2 linked regions of the Oreochromis niloticus genome follow. The protein of the gene in region 2 interacts with the protein of the main gene of each other region in a biochemical or structural test. Links are inferred from orthologs where the notes say so. Each region holds a gene or a part of one and is shown on either strand. Other genes may lie near its edges.

Evidence for each region.
Region 1: the proteins of atf2 (region 2) and fosab form a complex in vitro, tested with the Homo sapiens proteins (3 studies listed by BioGRID and IntAct, with this or other methods). The link is inferred for Oreochromis niloticus from reciprocal best matches to the Homo sapiens genes ATF2 and FOS.

The regions. Positions count from the first base shown.
Region 1 is NC_031980.2:9,324,657-9,332,021, reverse strand, and holds fosab (v-fos FBJ murine osteosarcoma viral oncogene homolog Ab), read right to left. Parts: upstream 3,036-7,365; 5' UTR 2,856-3,035; coding exon 2,724-2,855; intron 2,279-2,723; coding exon 2,057-2,278; intron 1,963-2,056; coding exon 1,855-1,962; intron 1,739-1,854; coding exon 1,064-1,738; 3' UTR 498-1,063; downstream 1-497. Other genes in the region: proto-oncogene c-Fos, read left to right, coding at 7,142-7,270. UniProt on the Homo sapiens protein: Nuclear phosphoprotein which forms a tight but non-covalently linked complex with the JUN/AP-1 transcription factor. In the heterodimer, FOS and JUN/AP-1 basic regions each seems to interact with symmetrical DNA half sites.
Region 2 is NC_031987.2:16,730,834-16,737,742, forward strand, and holds the start of atf2 (cyclic AMP-dependent transcription factor ATF-2), read right to left. Parts: upstream 3,005-6,909; 5' UTR 2,912-3,004; intron 2,887-2,911; exon of another isoform or gene 2,839-2,886; intron 2,825-2,838; exon of another isoform or gene 2,426-2,824; intron 2,266-2,425; 5' UTR 2,241-2,265; coding exon 2,193-2,240; intron 836-2,192; coding exon 739-835; intron 654-738; coding exon 535-653; intron 444-534; coding exon 318-443; intron 1-317. Other genes in the region: atp5mc3a (ATP synthase membrane subunit c locus 3a), read right to left, coding at 4,359-4,473, 4,577-4,767, 5,258-5,332, 6,198-6,236. UniProt on the Homo sapiens protein: Transcriptional activator which regulates the transcription of various genes, including those involved in anti-apoptosis, cell growth, and DNA damage response.

The DNA of each region.
Region 1 (7,365 bases), on a different chromosome or scaffold from region 2:
AGACGTCATCGCGCACGGCTTGCGATTAAAAAAATGGAAAGAACGCACTGACGTAAGAGCCCCTGACATAGTTAACCCTGGCAACAGGCGGAACAATAAATAGAGCAAGTGGAGGTGCAGGGAAAAAAGATGGCTATCCCTTATATAAGCTAATTTTAGCATTATTTTAATCATTTTTGAAAGCATTTTACTGGAAATGCTTTTAATTTACTACTCCTGAGAATATTCCCCTCTTTTATTTTTTCTTTTATTATTTTTCTCTTTCATCTTTTCTTTAATTATTTTTCCTTTGCCTCTCTTCCCCTAAACATGGGGCGAGGTTTCTTCCTGTTAAAAAGAGTTTTTCCTTCCCGCTGTCGCAAAGTCCTTGCCCCATGAGGTGACTGATGAATACACCTGAATTGAACTGAATAAATATGTAAATGCGTGTGTGTGTGTGTGTGTGTGTGTGTGTGGATATCATGAGAGGAAGCAACACACCCAGCCAGCACAGATGATTGAATTGAAATATCACTATCTTTTTATTTACATAACTTACAAACAACATTCTTCTTTACTATCTCTTTCTCTATTCCTCTATGTGTAAAAAAATAAATTTAATAAATTAAAAGGACTAATGTTTTCACAGAAAACTTCGGATAGACCACTCAGACCATGGTTAAGACAATGCACGTCTTTTTTTGTTTGTTTTTTTTCTTTTTAAAATTTCACAAACAGTTCACATATTAACTCTCACATTCCATTAACCAGAAAACAAACTGGATCAATAATAACTATTGCTCTGAACACACATCGATAAACAACAAGTTATGTTATCTAGCACCATATAAATCATATACGAACTCATATAACGACTAGGTGGTATTAGTTGAAACATGCGGGGAGGGGTTTTTTTGTTTTTGTTTTTTAAACTTGCTACATTGGTGTTATAGGCAAGTATAGATAAAGGCAGATAAAAATCATAAATAATTTAATATAAGTCTGTTCCATAGCCCTGTGATCGGCACATCTATGTAAGAAAGTGTGCTTTGATAGGAAGAATCATTGTTTCTTGTACAGTCTTTTAGAGGGCCAGCAGGGTGGGTGAGCTGAGGGAGTCGGAGGACTGCTCATTGCTGCTGCTTCCTCTCCTGTGGGCAACGCCGCAGGTGGGGAAGGTCTCTGCCTCTGGGAAGGTGAATACAAATGAAGACGTGAAGGTAGTGCAGGCTGGGGTGCAGGTTACTACAGGTGTGCACAGGGGCTCGAAGTCATTGGTATTAGCTGAGGTGTGAAGAGCCTCCCACTCCTGACCCGTGTAGAGGGAGCTGGACAGGTCGACCTCTGGCACCGACCGTGCCGTCTCCATCTCTGTCTTTGCCAGGAGATCCAGAGACTCCTCCAGGACAGAGGACTCCAGGTCTGACATCTTGACTGTGCTGCTAGAGACAGTGGCTGTGGAGAGGGCGGTGCTGGTGCTGGAGAAGATGGAGTTGGAGGTTGAGGTGAAGGTCGGCTGGCTGGAAGCGATAGCAGGTGTCTGAGAGACGGTGATCTGTGGCTGGGTGGACACTGCAGCGGAGTGGCAGGAATGGGTAGGAGAGAGGGAGGTCAGGGGGAAGTCCGTGCCCAGCTCAGAGGGGATTTTGCAAATGGGCTGGTGGGCAGCCAGAATGAACTCAAGCCTCTCCTTCTCCTTCAGCAGGTTGGCGATATCATTCTGCAAGTTGGATTTCTGGTCTTCCAGGATATCAGTTTCCTGTAAGAGAGAGAAATGGAGGAAGTTGCATCAGCTTGGCTGTTGGATAGCTCTGCTATTAGCTCTGACAATAAACACGTTTTAATGAGTGATGGTAAGTCTGATGGGATACTTACAGCTTGCAGAGTGTCTGTAAGCTCTCGCCTCCTGTTGCGGCATTTTGCTGCTGCCTGCTTATTCCTCTCTCTGCGAATCCTTCTCTTCTCTTCCTCCTCAGGTGTCATCTGCACATGATAGAAGGTAAAAGTTAGGACCCCTGCTCTTTAATAAACTTAGTCTATGACTATATATAACACTTCATGAACGAATGATAATTACCTGTTCCACTTTGCCTCTCTTGTTGTGAGCCCTGGACACTGCAGATTTCATGACTGCTCTTGAATATGCAGGGCTGGGGCTGGAGGTGTAAGGGTGAGCTCCGTGGGAAGGGGCCACTGAGGAGACCACAGGCTGGACCATCCACTGAAGATCTGGGCTCGTGGAAATGGCCGTGACTGTGGGGATGAAGGAGGCACTTGATGCTGTCAGGTCTGTGAAATCCTGGAGGAAATGAAATAAAAGAGAAGATCGTCAGGACGTTTAGTACATTATCAGGAGGGGTGGCAGCATTGCAAGATGTCTATGAATGAAGCACGGAGGGTCTATAAAAAGCTGGATGGTTTAAAAATATCCTTATGATGTCAGCTATGACGTTACACTCTCTCTATGGAGTTTCCAGGTGGATGAATGAAGCTTGCCTTGCACTGTTTGGTGCGCAGGTCAGAGTTATTTTTTAAAATATATATATACATATTTAAAAACAAAACTCAATGAGTGCTTTTCTTAATTTCCAGCCAGCCTTTTTCATTATTACCATTATTATTATCTGAAAACATCACTTTTAAGTTTTGTCAGTTTAATTTAGTAAACATCCAAATCTCCAACAGGTCCTTTCTGAGCTGAAATAGCGTGCTGTAAAAATTTAACAATGTTTAAGCGGACATACCTGAGACTGGGGAGATCCCATGCTGGAGTAAGATCCCGCTGGTGACGGGTAATATCCCAGAGTGTCCACGGACGGGGAAGCGGTGCTGCAGCGAGAGGAAGAGTCGCAATCCGCGTTGAAATTGAACATCATCGTTCCTTTTTTTCGAAAAAAAATTAAGCAGATAAGAAGATCCGGACAAACTCTACTAAGGACGAATGTAAACTTGAGGTCAGGATAGTCCTTTAGTGGGTTTGCGAGAAAACTCTTCAAGCGCTGTTCCCGATCAGTTCTCTTAGTCGCTGTTCTGCTACTCAAAGTTAGACTGCCAACTCTCCGAGCTGGGCCATTTATATACTGTCTGCTGACGTAAAGAGGGGTGTGCCGTGCACCCGACACCAGGAAGGAAAAAAAACACCAAAACACTGACTTAACAACGCGGTAATAACACCGACTTTTCCTCGCGCTCCATTTAAATTCAATACAGTTTGTTTGCACGAGTCACGAATGAGTCATTTACAGGTGATAAGTGACTATTTGAAATGTTTATTTCTAAAACTCGTCTTCAAGAAATGGAATATTCCGGAGCGGGATCCCCGATACGTAGGTATCCATATATGGTGCATCCTGTGAAGGAGGCGGGGCCTGATGGGAAATACACCGTGAGAGTGGCGGACAGCGGCATGACGTTATGTAAAACAACAAACAGAGATTGTTGTGAAAACTTAAAGAACTGAGATAACAGTGAGGAAAAGTGCGTCCTACACAGCAAGGACACAATTAAACATGCAAATGCGTCTGTGCTGAACAAAATGTACCAAACAAACACATGAAAAAAAAAAAAAAAATCTGTTTCTGTTTTTTTTAACCCCCTCCCCCAGCCGCGCACCTCCTTTTTTATTTTTATGTTTTTGAAATATAGAAACTCAGTTTTATCGTGCAAACTTTCGGCTTGTGGTGAAGCACTTTGTGATATTCATCTTGAAATTTGGCATATAAATAACATGTTATTTACGTACTCGCTAACTTCACTCACTGACTCACTTATCGGCTATTTTTAAAGTGTTTAATTTGATAAATGGTTACACACTTAATGCGAGACAATCCATACAATCACAGAAGGTCCGCATTTGCATGTGTAGGTCACGAAATACAAAGAATAATTAAAAATAAAGATAAGAATAAGCGAGAAAATGGTGGGTAATTAATTTTTACTTGATTCTGTGGTCTGTCCGTTTTCTAAAGTAAACCGACTTTTAATTTACTTATTTATTTAATTTTTGTATTCATGTATTTTTCTTACTTAATCCCAGATGCGTTTATATCCAGTAAGTTACAATGGAATTGTTTCATAGTCAGTCTAAAATATCTCTACATAAACGTTGCATGTCAGGACATGGGTGACATGTTCTCCACCCTCAGGTACTGTTTGTACCTTTCGCCTGCAATCCAGAACAGGGCGTGTTTAGCTGCAGAGCGAGCTGATAACTGGTTTTCTGTGTGTACGTTTCCTCGACGACAGGAGATGGGGAGGGGTGGCGGTTAATTGTAAAGGTCTTCCCCAAAGCCACTAGCAGAGGGAATCCTCAAGATTTACGTAAGAAGCTATGAAACGAATTCATGAAATGCAGGCTTAACGGTGAGCCAACATTGCGACTGCATTTGCTGTTTAATAACTGTTCGTTCTCTGACATCAGCACTTTTTTTTTTATTATCCTGTTCACTTGAGAAGTAGGTCTGTGGAACAAGCAGCATGACTTTCGTGCAATATTACCAAAGTCAGCAACATTTGCTGGTAGTTTTGTTCATGGTTTATTCTTAATAAAGGCGATACATTCATGATACATGAGTTTAATGAAACACAATTCATACTTTTCTTCTTCTTTTTTTCTCTCTCTCGTGAGTCTTCCGGGAATTCCCTTCTTTAACTAAACAAGCACAAAACAAGCACCATAAGCGCTCTCGACCCATTAAACAAACCATAAAGACTAAACAAAGGTGTCATTGTGTCAAAAGGCTCTAATTCAGGCTATAGGATTTTGCGCTTTCTTTCCCGCGCCAGTGTTTTGTTGAACATTCCTGGTTGTCATAGCGACGCCCAGCCCCTTTCGCGTCAGTGACGTCCATTTATTTTTTATTTTTTCATAGCAACGAAGATCGTGTCTAATCATGAGGAGGAGCCGCATCAACAGAGAAACACCAAACCGGCTTTTTCGGCATCGCCTGTGGAGACGGAACGTGCACATGAACACGTCATTAGCGGTTCCCGGAAACGTCGTCGGAGTGAGAGCTCTGAGTGTTTTCCCATCTCTGACAGTCCTCCCCTTTCCTCGGTGTCTGCGGGTCAACGGAATGGAACGGGACACCAAACAAGCCGTTTACCTTGAGCGGTGTTTGAGTTCTGTTTGAGTGGTTGGCATGAAGGTTGCTGACCTGCACTGTTTGAGTGACCTGGTTTTTGCTGGTGTTATTTCGTGTTGGACTGAGACTGGAATCGAAATAAAATTATAATAACAATAATAATAATAATAATAATGATAATAATGATAATAATAATGATAAAAAGAAAGAAAGAAAGAAAGAAAGAAAGGCAATTTCTAAAATAAAAACATATTTTTTATTGCTGTTTTTAAAAGTATTTAAAGTTAAATACTATCTAAATGCTATCTAATACCTGAAGTTATTTCTTTTTTTCTTTTTTTTTTATCGCTGCTCTTTGGCTCCTCAAAGGAGAACAGTTCACTAAAATGACCGTGAACTTGGATGCCAGTGGATCTAAAAATAAATTCTACAGTCTTTGCGCATTCACGCTCAAGTTGCTTTGAAGAAAACGACTGTTAGAGCTGTGCTGAGAGGTGAGTATTGTTCGACCTTTGAACTTCTTTTTGTCCCAGGCCGCTCAAAACGACCACCAATAGTGATGTGCCGGTAAATAGGGCCCAAGGCGGGGGGTTGCCACTGCCGGGAAGTACCCGGGAGCGCAGAGCAAACAGGGGGGAGCTTCTCACTCTATCCAGCGCTTATCCCTTTCACTTGGATGGGTTCGTGAGGTCACATGAAACCTAAATATAGCCCAATCCGGCCCGCAAGCTCTTGTTATGGGAGCAGAATTAGGTTATGCGGGAACATCAATTAAAGCCCGGGCTTTAATTGGTGCCGATAAACTGCATTACCGTCTGTGAGAAAGTAAGTCACGTTGTTCCTGTCTAGAAATTATGTCAGTCACTGGCCTTCTTGAATTCTCCGATTCCCTCATGAGTCTGTTTTGCACATCTGCGGCTGCACCTAATTGCCACCCTTATATGGAAAGGTGGGTCAAATCCTTCGCATCCTCAAACTAACGCCTGTGCGGGCATTCTTGGCGCAGCTGATGACGCTGATATCAGGTACAGCACAGGGTCAATCTCTGAGAGCTTGTTTTACTTTCTTTTTGCGGCAGCGAGTGAGTGGGCCACACACAGCCCGGCAGCGTCCGTCTGCGCGCTATCCTTCCTATCCTTGTGCCACAGCACCCCCCCATCCCCCCACCCCTCCCGGAAATACCATATATGGCTCGACCGGTCCATTCGGCGATTGGCTGCTTGGCTTCAGCGACAGTTCTGTTGCTGGAGCTCTATTCATATGTAGAGACAGGTGAAAGGCAATGTGATACGTGAATGACACTTAATTATGACGGCTTATAAATAATCAGGCAGTGTGCTGGAAGTGTGCTGTGAAATAATTAAATTAATGCCGGATTTTATTATGTGTCTATAAATAGATGATGGAACATTAGTGCATAATCATTGTTCTAATGTGGACAGTTTGGAGGAGAAAGAACCGGGGAAGCACCACACTGGCTATTTTAAAACCATTTATTAATGAAGCCTATTACACTGCCTCCACTTTCCTTCTAATGCATTGAGAGCTCGTGTTACCGTAAATGCCCAGAAGCATTAAACAAAGGCTAAATGTCGAGAACATATGAGGGCATGACGGGAACATATAGCCTGTGATGCAGATGCTGCATACATGAAGTGACGTAGTTCATTCATGGCGGTGGGCACCTTTTGGAGGGAGGGGTGCCATTTTCTATGTGCTCACTTTAAAAAAAAAAACATTTGAGTTCTGATAATAAGCTGAAATAAAACAGTGGGCTAGTGTTGATTTTTACGCACTTCAATGATTTGATTGTTGAACTGTAAAAAAACCCATCTGCTAGCCCCTTTCTCCTGTCACTTCTCCCTCGGTGAAATGGTTCGGTCTCACCACACAGATTTCATTCATAAAATTCCAGCTCACTATAAAAGGCGGGCCTCTCCACTATGTGCACAGTTATGAACCTGGCAAATGGAATATAGGCGTCCGGGACATCCGTTTTCTGTCTAGCACAGACTGACTGTTCAGTCTCTTATGCGGTGATTTAATTTTATTTTGAATTTTTATTTTTTAATGAAACCATGCATCCAGACTCCAGCACTGAGTTCGACTTATCGTCCAGCTGTAGCACAGCATCGCCTGGCGGGGACACCCCTGGGTGCAGTCAGCATCCTCCTGACTCGCTTTCATCATCAGTGGACAGCACCAAGGTAGAGCCGGATCTCTTCATTACACACACAAAAACCTGATCACAAAGCGTAATCTTGTGTTTGACGCATGCGGGTGATACTGCATTCCTCAAATT
Region 2 (6,909 bases):
GAATGTTTCCTATAATAAGATGCTGTTACTCTTTCCTCAACATCAGGAATAAATAATATGAGCAATCAAGTAAAAGGTATTCGTCTGAATCCAACTAATATGTGTGTAGTACTGCTAATCTTTTCAGTTTTAGTGTATTCACAACAGAATAAGACAAGTTAAGAGTTCAAAATTAAATTATATTAAGCAGAAAGTCCCAATGCTTCACAAAGCGGATTTGCAAATTTCTGATCACAGGAGTAGAGAACGTCCTTCATTACAGCGTTGTAAATGCTCTATGGTAAGAAAAAATGCCAGAGGCAGCTTAAAGTGCCTACCTTGTCATCATTTGTAGTAGACTCAGGATGAGGCAAAGGGCTATCTCGATGTGTCTCTATCACTGTGGGCTCCTCAATTTTGTTGCGTATGATAGGTGTCGCAAGAGGTGACAAATCCAGGGGTAGCTGTGGAACAACAAGAAGCCCAAAATGATCACAAGAGTGAACACAGACAAGGCTCAGATGATCTGCTTACACATTTAACAGCGAGAACCACCTTTTTAATTTCATCTTCAGTGGCTTTTTTGAAGTCATGGTCAAAAGGACTGGCGAGTTCATTGAAGAGCCCGACCTCCTCGCAGTTCTTCAGGAAGCGAGTAGGCGTTGGGGTTTGGTCTGCAAGGGAGGAAACTCTTGAGCACAGAGATGGAAATGTAAAGCATCCATCACCTCTGAATATTCCATCTAACAGAGCACTCACCTGCAATGATAACACTGTCATTCCGAGCAGGGCCAAACTTCAGGGTCATCTCATGTTTGTGTTTGTGGACAGCCAAGTGGTCTTCATTTGTGAATCTCTATGCAAGGTTTCAAAAAAATACAGCAAGTGTGACTGATGTGACTGAAAGAAGTCTTACTTAAACCTTAAAATTTTAATTCTGACCAATAATTTAGTCTTCTACGTCATGGCTGGATTCTAGCTTGACAGCTTTACTGCCTCAAACGTGTGGCTGTCGAAACTCATTATAAGCTTTAACTGCGAAAGCTGTTATATAATTGTGCCCAACCCGTTAAGTTTTATGAGTATTGACTAAACAACAGAAACAAATCCTGCTGACCAAAACCACGAACAACTGAGCAGCAACAAAGCCAAAGGTCTCTAATGTTACTATGGATGTAAAGCAGACCTGACTAAGTAAAATGGACTCTAACAAACACTGGACATTGGACTTCATGAGGTTAGATAGCACGATCTACGTACGTACTTATCAGACAACTGACTGAGTACAGCAAATACACATCTAACACCTGTGACACACTAGACATGTCCTCAGAATTGGGAAAAGGATCTGGGGACTATGAAGACCCATTTATATACATTAAGTCAAATTAAGCATCTCCAGATATTAGATGAGCAGTAACTAAACAAATGAAGAAGGTTATTTTGATCTATTTAGTCACATTAATTTTGTTTTGATGAGCCAAAATACTTTATTTTTCAAATGAATATTTGTTTTTTTTCCCCCATGCAGACAAGAGGGAAAAATTAAGAAGAAAAACTAAATTTGAAAAATGCAGATCATCATTGCTTATTGGTCAAACTGTCATTTAAATCACTGGCAATGGTATTTGCATATATTTCATTTCCATCGAGCATCTTTTTTTTAAGATGACAGATTGTGAGTCTTTTAGGATGATTTCAATACTTTTTGGATTCAGTACATCTGAATTTTATGTATTTTAGCACAAAAATTAATTAGTTAAGTGTAGATTTTGACCAAAACCTACACTTTAGTGGATTTTAGATCATATAATACATAGAGTATGTCAAAATGACTTAAAAAAAAATCATAACAAAAAACAGAGCACCTGATTACCAACTAGGCATTGTGATTAAGTTCCTTAGAGCCCCAAATCAATGTATATGAGTAGGTGTTGGGACGTTTACCCTATTATAAATGTTTCCAGTATTGTTATGATGGGATATGTTTTAAACTTAGCGATTTAACACCATGTTTGCTTTAGTTTGTACTGTGCTCATATGGCACTTTTTTTTTTTTAAATAAACTGTTTGGGTCTATATACAATGAAGCAGTGACCAGTTAGCAACGTATTTGTTTGTTTGTTTGTTTGTTTTTTGGACGTGGAAATGTGGATCCAGTCATGTTCATCTGTACAGTGAGATTTATGAAACACCTGTGATCAAAAACTTACCTGTCCACACCCAGGAGCAGTACATAGGAAAGGTTTATCATCACTCATATTAAGGAATTCCTGTTACCTCGCCCTGAAATAAAAACACAAAAAATAAAAATAAAAAATATATAAATAAATATCACACCTGCAGATATGCAATGATGTATATTTCAAGAGCTGACGGTATACAAATAGGGCTATAGCAAATAATAATTTGTGAGAATAAATGTAGCTCATAAATGTGTAAATACAGGGTGGTTGGAGGATGCAGTGGTTAGAAAGCAGAGCTGGAAATTTGGACAAAGCCTATGGATGCAGGGCGGCTGCTTTGGTTGTTTACACTCGGTGTCATCATAAAGAGGATTATCGCTTCACTTGTTTTGGCACAACAAGCGACTGAGCCACGCATCCAGGGCTATCATCATCTGACAGCTTCTGTGCTGTAAATATAGCAGCTCATCGCAAACAGACATCACACACATGAACATCTCACTATTACGTTACTACATAGGTAGCGCTCATCTCTTCCAGTCGCTTCCACGGAATAGCCTGAGCCCTGCGTTAACATACTAGCGTCGCCATATTAGGAGCTAAATATCACTGTAAACAAAGGAGATGTCAGCGTTTGTTTCAAGGCTGTCTCGTCGTAACGGAGCACGAGTACCTCACGGTCCCAGCAATTATGTCTTTTACCACAGCTTTTTACCCATTCGCTATCAGTTTATGTGGTCACTTACCCCCTCAGCCACAACCCTTGATTTCCAAAATCCCACGGTCGTACTAAAGCATCGCGAGAACAGCTATGACTCTTCCGTAAACGTCACACTCGGACAGATGAGCCACATACACTTTGCTCTTGTTCTGTCATTGACCTTCAAGTAGTTTTGGAAAAGAATTAGGAGAAGCAGAAATGTTTTAAGGCATATAAAAAATCCTTGCTAACAAGTCATATTTCTGATGTTTCTCCTTTCAGAAAATTACTGATTTAGTTTTCAGTGTTTTCTGGAGGCTCCAGCTTCATCCCTTTTATTATTTTTTTATACATAAAACAATCTTTATTCATTTTTTAATTATTATTATTTTTATCTTTATTATTGTTTAATATTGTAACCTTCCAAGATTTTTTTAAGTGTTAAAAAGGTAACAGATCATATATGTTATCTGACCAGAATCCTTTTTTCACTGCTGATGGTCAAGACTTAAGTTTTTTAACATGATTTTAGGCAATCTGTGAAAGGCTCCAGTCCCCCATGAGCTGTTTTGGATGTGTGAGAAAAAGGGTGGATATAAACCATAAACCACCCCCAGTTAACTGCACTAGTTTACATTATACACTCCATTTTGAACTATATTGTATATATATCACCATTTTATATTGCTATACATTTAGATCTATGTGGTAGCATTTTTTTATTTTTTTTTCCATGACAAGTGACAAATATTACCTTATCATAGTAAAGGATTGTACAGCAACAGTTGGGGTAAGCCAGAAATTAAATTGAGATATTTAAAGATCATCCTTGACAATGAATGTTGAGCATTTCTGCTTGATAAGTGACTTAATGATTATCATCTCTGGCATTTTTGAAGACTGATTTTACCTCTTCAAATTTAAGCTCAGCCAGTGAAAGCAGCCAACAATAAAGGTGTAATGACTACAATCTGTCAGCTTTTGAAACCGGGACTTTCATCACGAGTCAAAAAATTCAAAACCCATTACTTAGCTCAATTAAAATCAGCTAGGTTTATTCAGTGGCATTTACAAAAGCAAGCACTCACTTGCTGCCTGAATACAATATTACTTAAGTGCAGCTGAACCAAAAAGTCATTAAGGTGGACCCCAAAAAGCTTGCATGTTATGGTCTATGAAAACAAGGCTGAGTAATGGCAAGCCTAAGCACCTGCTTCACAGAAAAGATGACATTCATGAAGGCCAAGTGCTTTCAGTTGTGTTACCATTTATAATCCAGACATAAAAGTTACTGCCATTGTTAAATAGTCAAACACATGTATTTTAATCACGTAATTTCTTACATTTGTACAATACATGTCTTGGCTTTTTTGACAGTGTCTAAAAGACTTGAAAATGTACATTTCCCATGACACCAACACGGAACAATTTTGGTAGCCACAATAAAATATGTAGTCACATCTGTAATGAAAATTTTGTCTGACAGCAGAGTTTTACATAGCGAACAGGATAAGGAAAGCCACCATCAAACAGAACAGTCCCATGGCTTCAGACAGGGCGAATCCCAGGATAGCGTATGAAAACAGCTGCTGCTTCAGAGATGGGTTCCTGCAAAGAAAGGAAGAAAAGAAGCCATCAGCACATTTACAGAACACACAAGGAATCAATTAGCGTCATAGTGAAGAATAAAGACACTGAAATTAAAACAAACCTAGCATAGCCAATGATGAGACTACCAAACACTGTCCCAATTCCAGCACCAGATCCAGCTACTCCGACTGTGGCGGCTCCGGCACCAATGAACTTGGCGGCAGTGTCAATGTCCCTGCTGATAGCGCTGGTCTGGAAGCCTCTCAGTGTAGCCTGGCTCAGGGGGCTCTGGGGCAGCAGAGCAACGCTGCTCTGTAACAAGAGAAGAGGCACTGTAAACACTGTCCTTTCGTTGCCCGCCTCAATGTAAACATCAGCTGACATTTAAAACAGTGTGGCAGCAGATGACAGGAGTAATATAGGAGGCATAGTGTGAAATTTAGGGAAATTTCAACCAGTTCTGTCACACCATTAATCAAAAAAATTTGCCAATTTACCTGCAAGTTTTAAACTTAAAGATAAACTACAGAGCAGAAATGCGCACATAAAGGTTGTACTATTTATTGCATGTTTGTTTTAACTTGTATTTTATTTCTTTTAAAACTTTGTTTTGTTGCTTTTATTGCTTTCAGAGACTGCAGATTTGCATAGCTCGTCTTTATCTTATATGGTAAGCACACTGAGTTTACGTATTATGAAATGTGCTCTATAAAATTGACAGTGGTAATTTAGGTAATAATTTCCAACACTGCACTGTTAAGAAGGGCTGAAGAAGTTGCAGAAAGCCTGCATTTCTTCTTACCTCCGATTTAACATCAGGCCTGGACAGCACAGAGGCAGACAGAGGTCGGTAAAGAACCCGGGAACCAGCACGGACCTGCAACAACAAGACCAAAAACATGAATAATGAGTCTAGATAAACAATTTACATGACTGTATGCTCAGTAACACACAACACATGTGCTTCTAATTTCTGCTACATAACTTTGCACTTTTGCTGTAACAAAACAAATTTCCCACCTGTGGGACTAATAAAGGCCATCTTATCTTATCTTATCTTATCTTTAACAGTGGCAACTATTCCCCATTTGTGGGCATGTGTGAAGGTGGATGACACCTTGAATGTCTCAGTGTTTTTCATTGCACTGTGTGACCTGTGGCATTCAGTGATGACTGCAAGTAGCGTTAAAAGTTTACTGTTGAGCAATGATGTTGGCATATTACAATAAAAATACAATGCAAGTTAGCTAACACCCATTTGTGCTGTCATTCAAACTGGTTAGCCTCCAAAACCAGTATCATGACCTTGGATAAAGACATTCCAGGATATATGTACGTGCAAGCTGGCAGCCCAAACGGAAAATGCAACCATTTCTGTATTGTTTGCAAAGTGCGGGGTCTTGTGCACTCTGTCTGCGCCTTGTTCTGCTAACAGAAGGCCTAAATGACCTTAGCTAGCGGCCATAATGGGAGCTATGTGCTAAAGGCTAACGCAGGATTATAGATGCATTATTAACAATTAAAAAAATCGCATGCGTAAATTTCATTAACATTGCACCCATTCTGCTGCCATTAAAAGGGGATTGTGAATTACTGGTTTAGCATTAGCCGGCTAAACTCCCGGCCTAGTCTGATACCCTTGCAGGAAAGCTGCAGTCAAGTTCAACCAGAGGCCCACCGGCTTTATTAGCGACATTAAGAGAAGTCCGACTCAAAGAAACACAGACGAGGAGAAAACTCACCACAGCCGGCGTGGAGACGAACTTAGCGCAGGCGTACATTTTCTACTTTAGGTAGTTTTAACCGGTTCGGTCAAATCTGGTTGAAGCCCGGGTCTCTCTATGGAGGGAAGATTGGACAGAATTAAGGTCAAACGGGTGTAAAAATGCCCAGCAGAGAAAATAACAGCATTCATAAGTGCATTCACATCCGTTCTGTATGCTATCCTCACTTGTGCACTGCAATGCGAAGCTTAAAGAAAGGATGAAAAGGGATTTATAAAGATACGCTTCTCATTCAAACTGCCATTACACACTTACCGACTGCAGAGGTCGAACCACAGTGGAAGAGTACGCATGCGCGATGGGGTGTTTGTAAGAGGCCCGGATGGTGACTGGGAAGGTCGTTTCAATGAAACTTTATTGAAAATCAGCCGGAAGGGAATCTTTATCAATATGAGAAAAAAGTTCAGAGGGACATTTAAAAATGTTTTATACTATTGGAAATGGCCAGTTCTACTACATTCAATGTTAAGAAATCTGATTTTTTTAAAAGTTTTTTTTTTAATTTTCTTTTTAAGTAAAAAGAAAGCCAGTTACATTTACCTGCTTTTCCAATTCTTTCTTATCACCAATCACTGAGTCTGAAGCATCATTTGATCATTTTCTATATTTTTTTAAACAGGTTTATGACATTACTTCATGGATGTAGCGACAAAAGAAGCATGTATTTCAT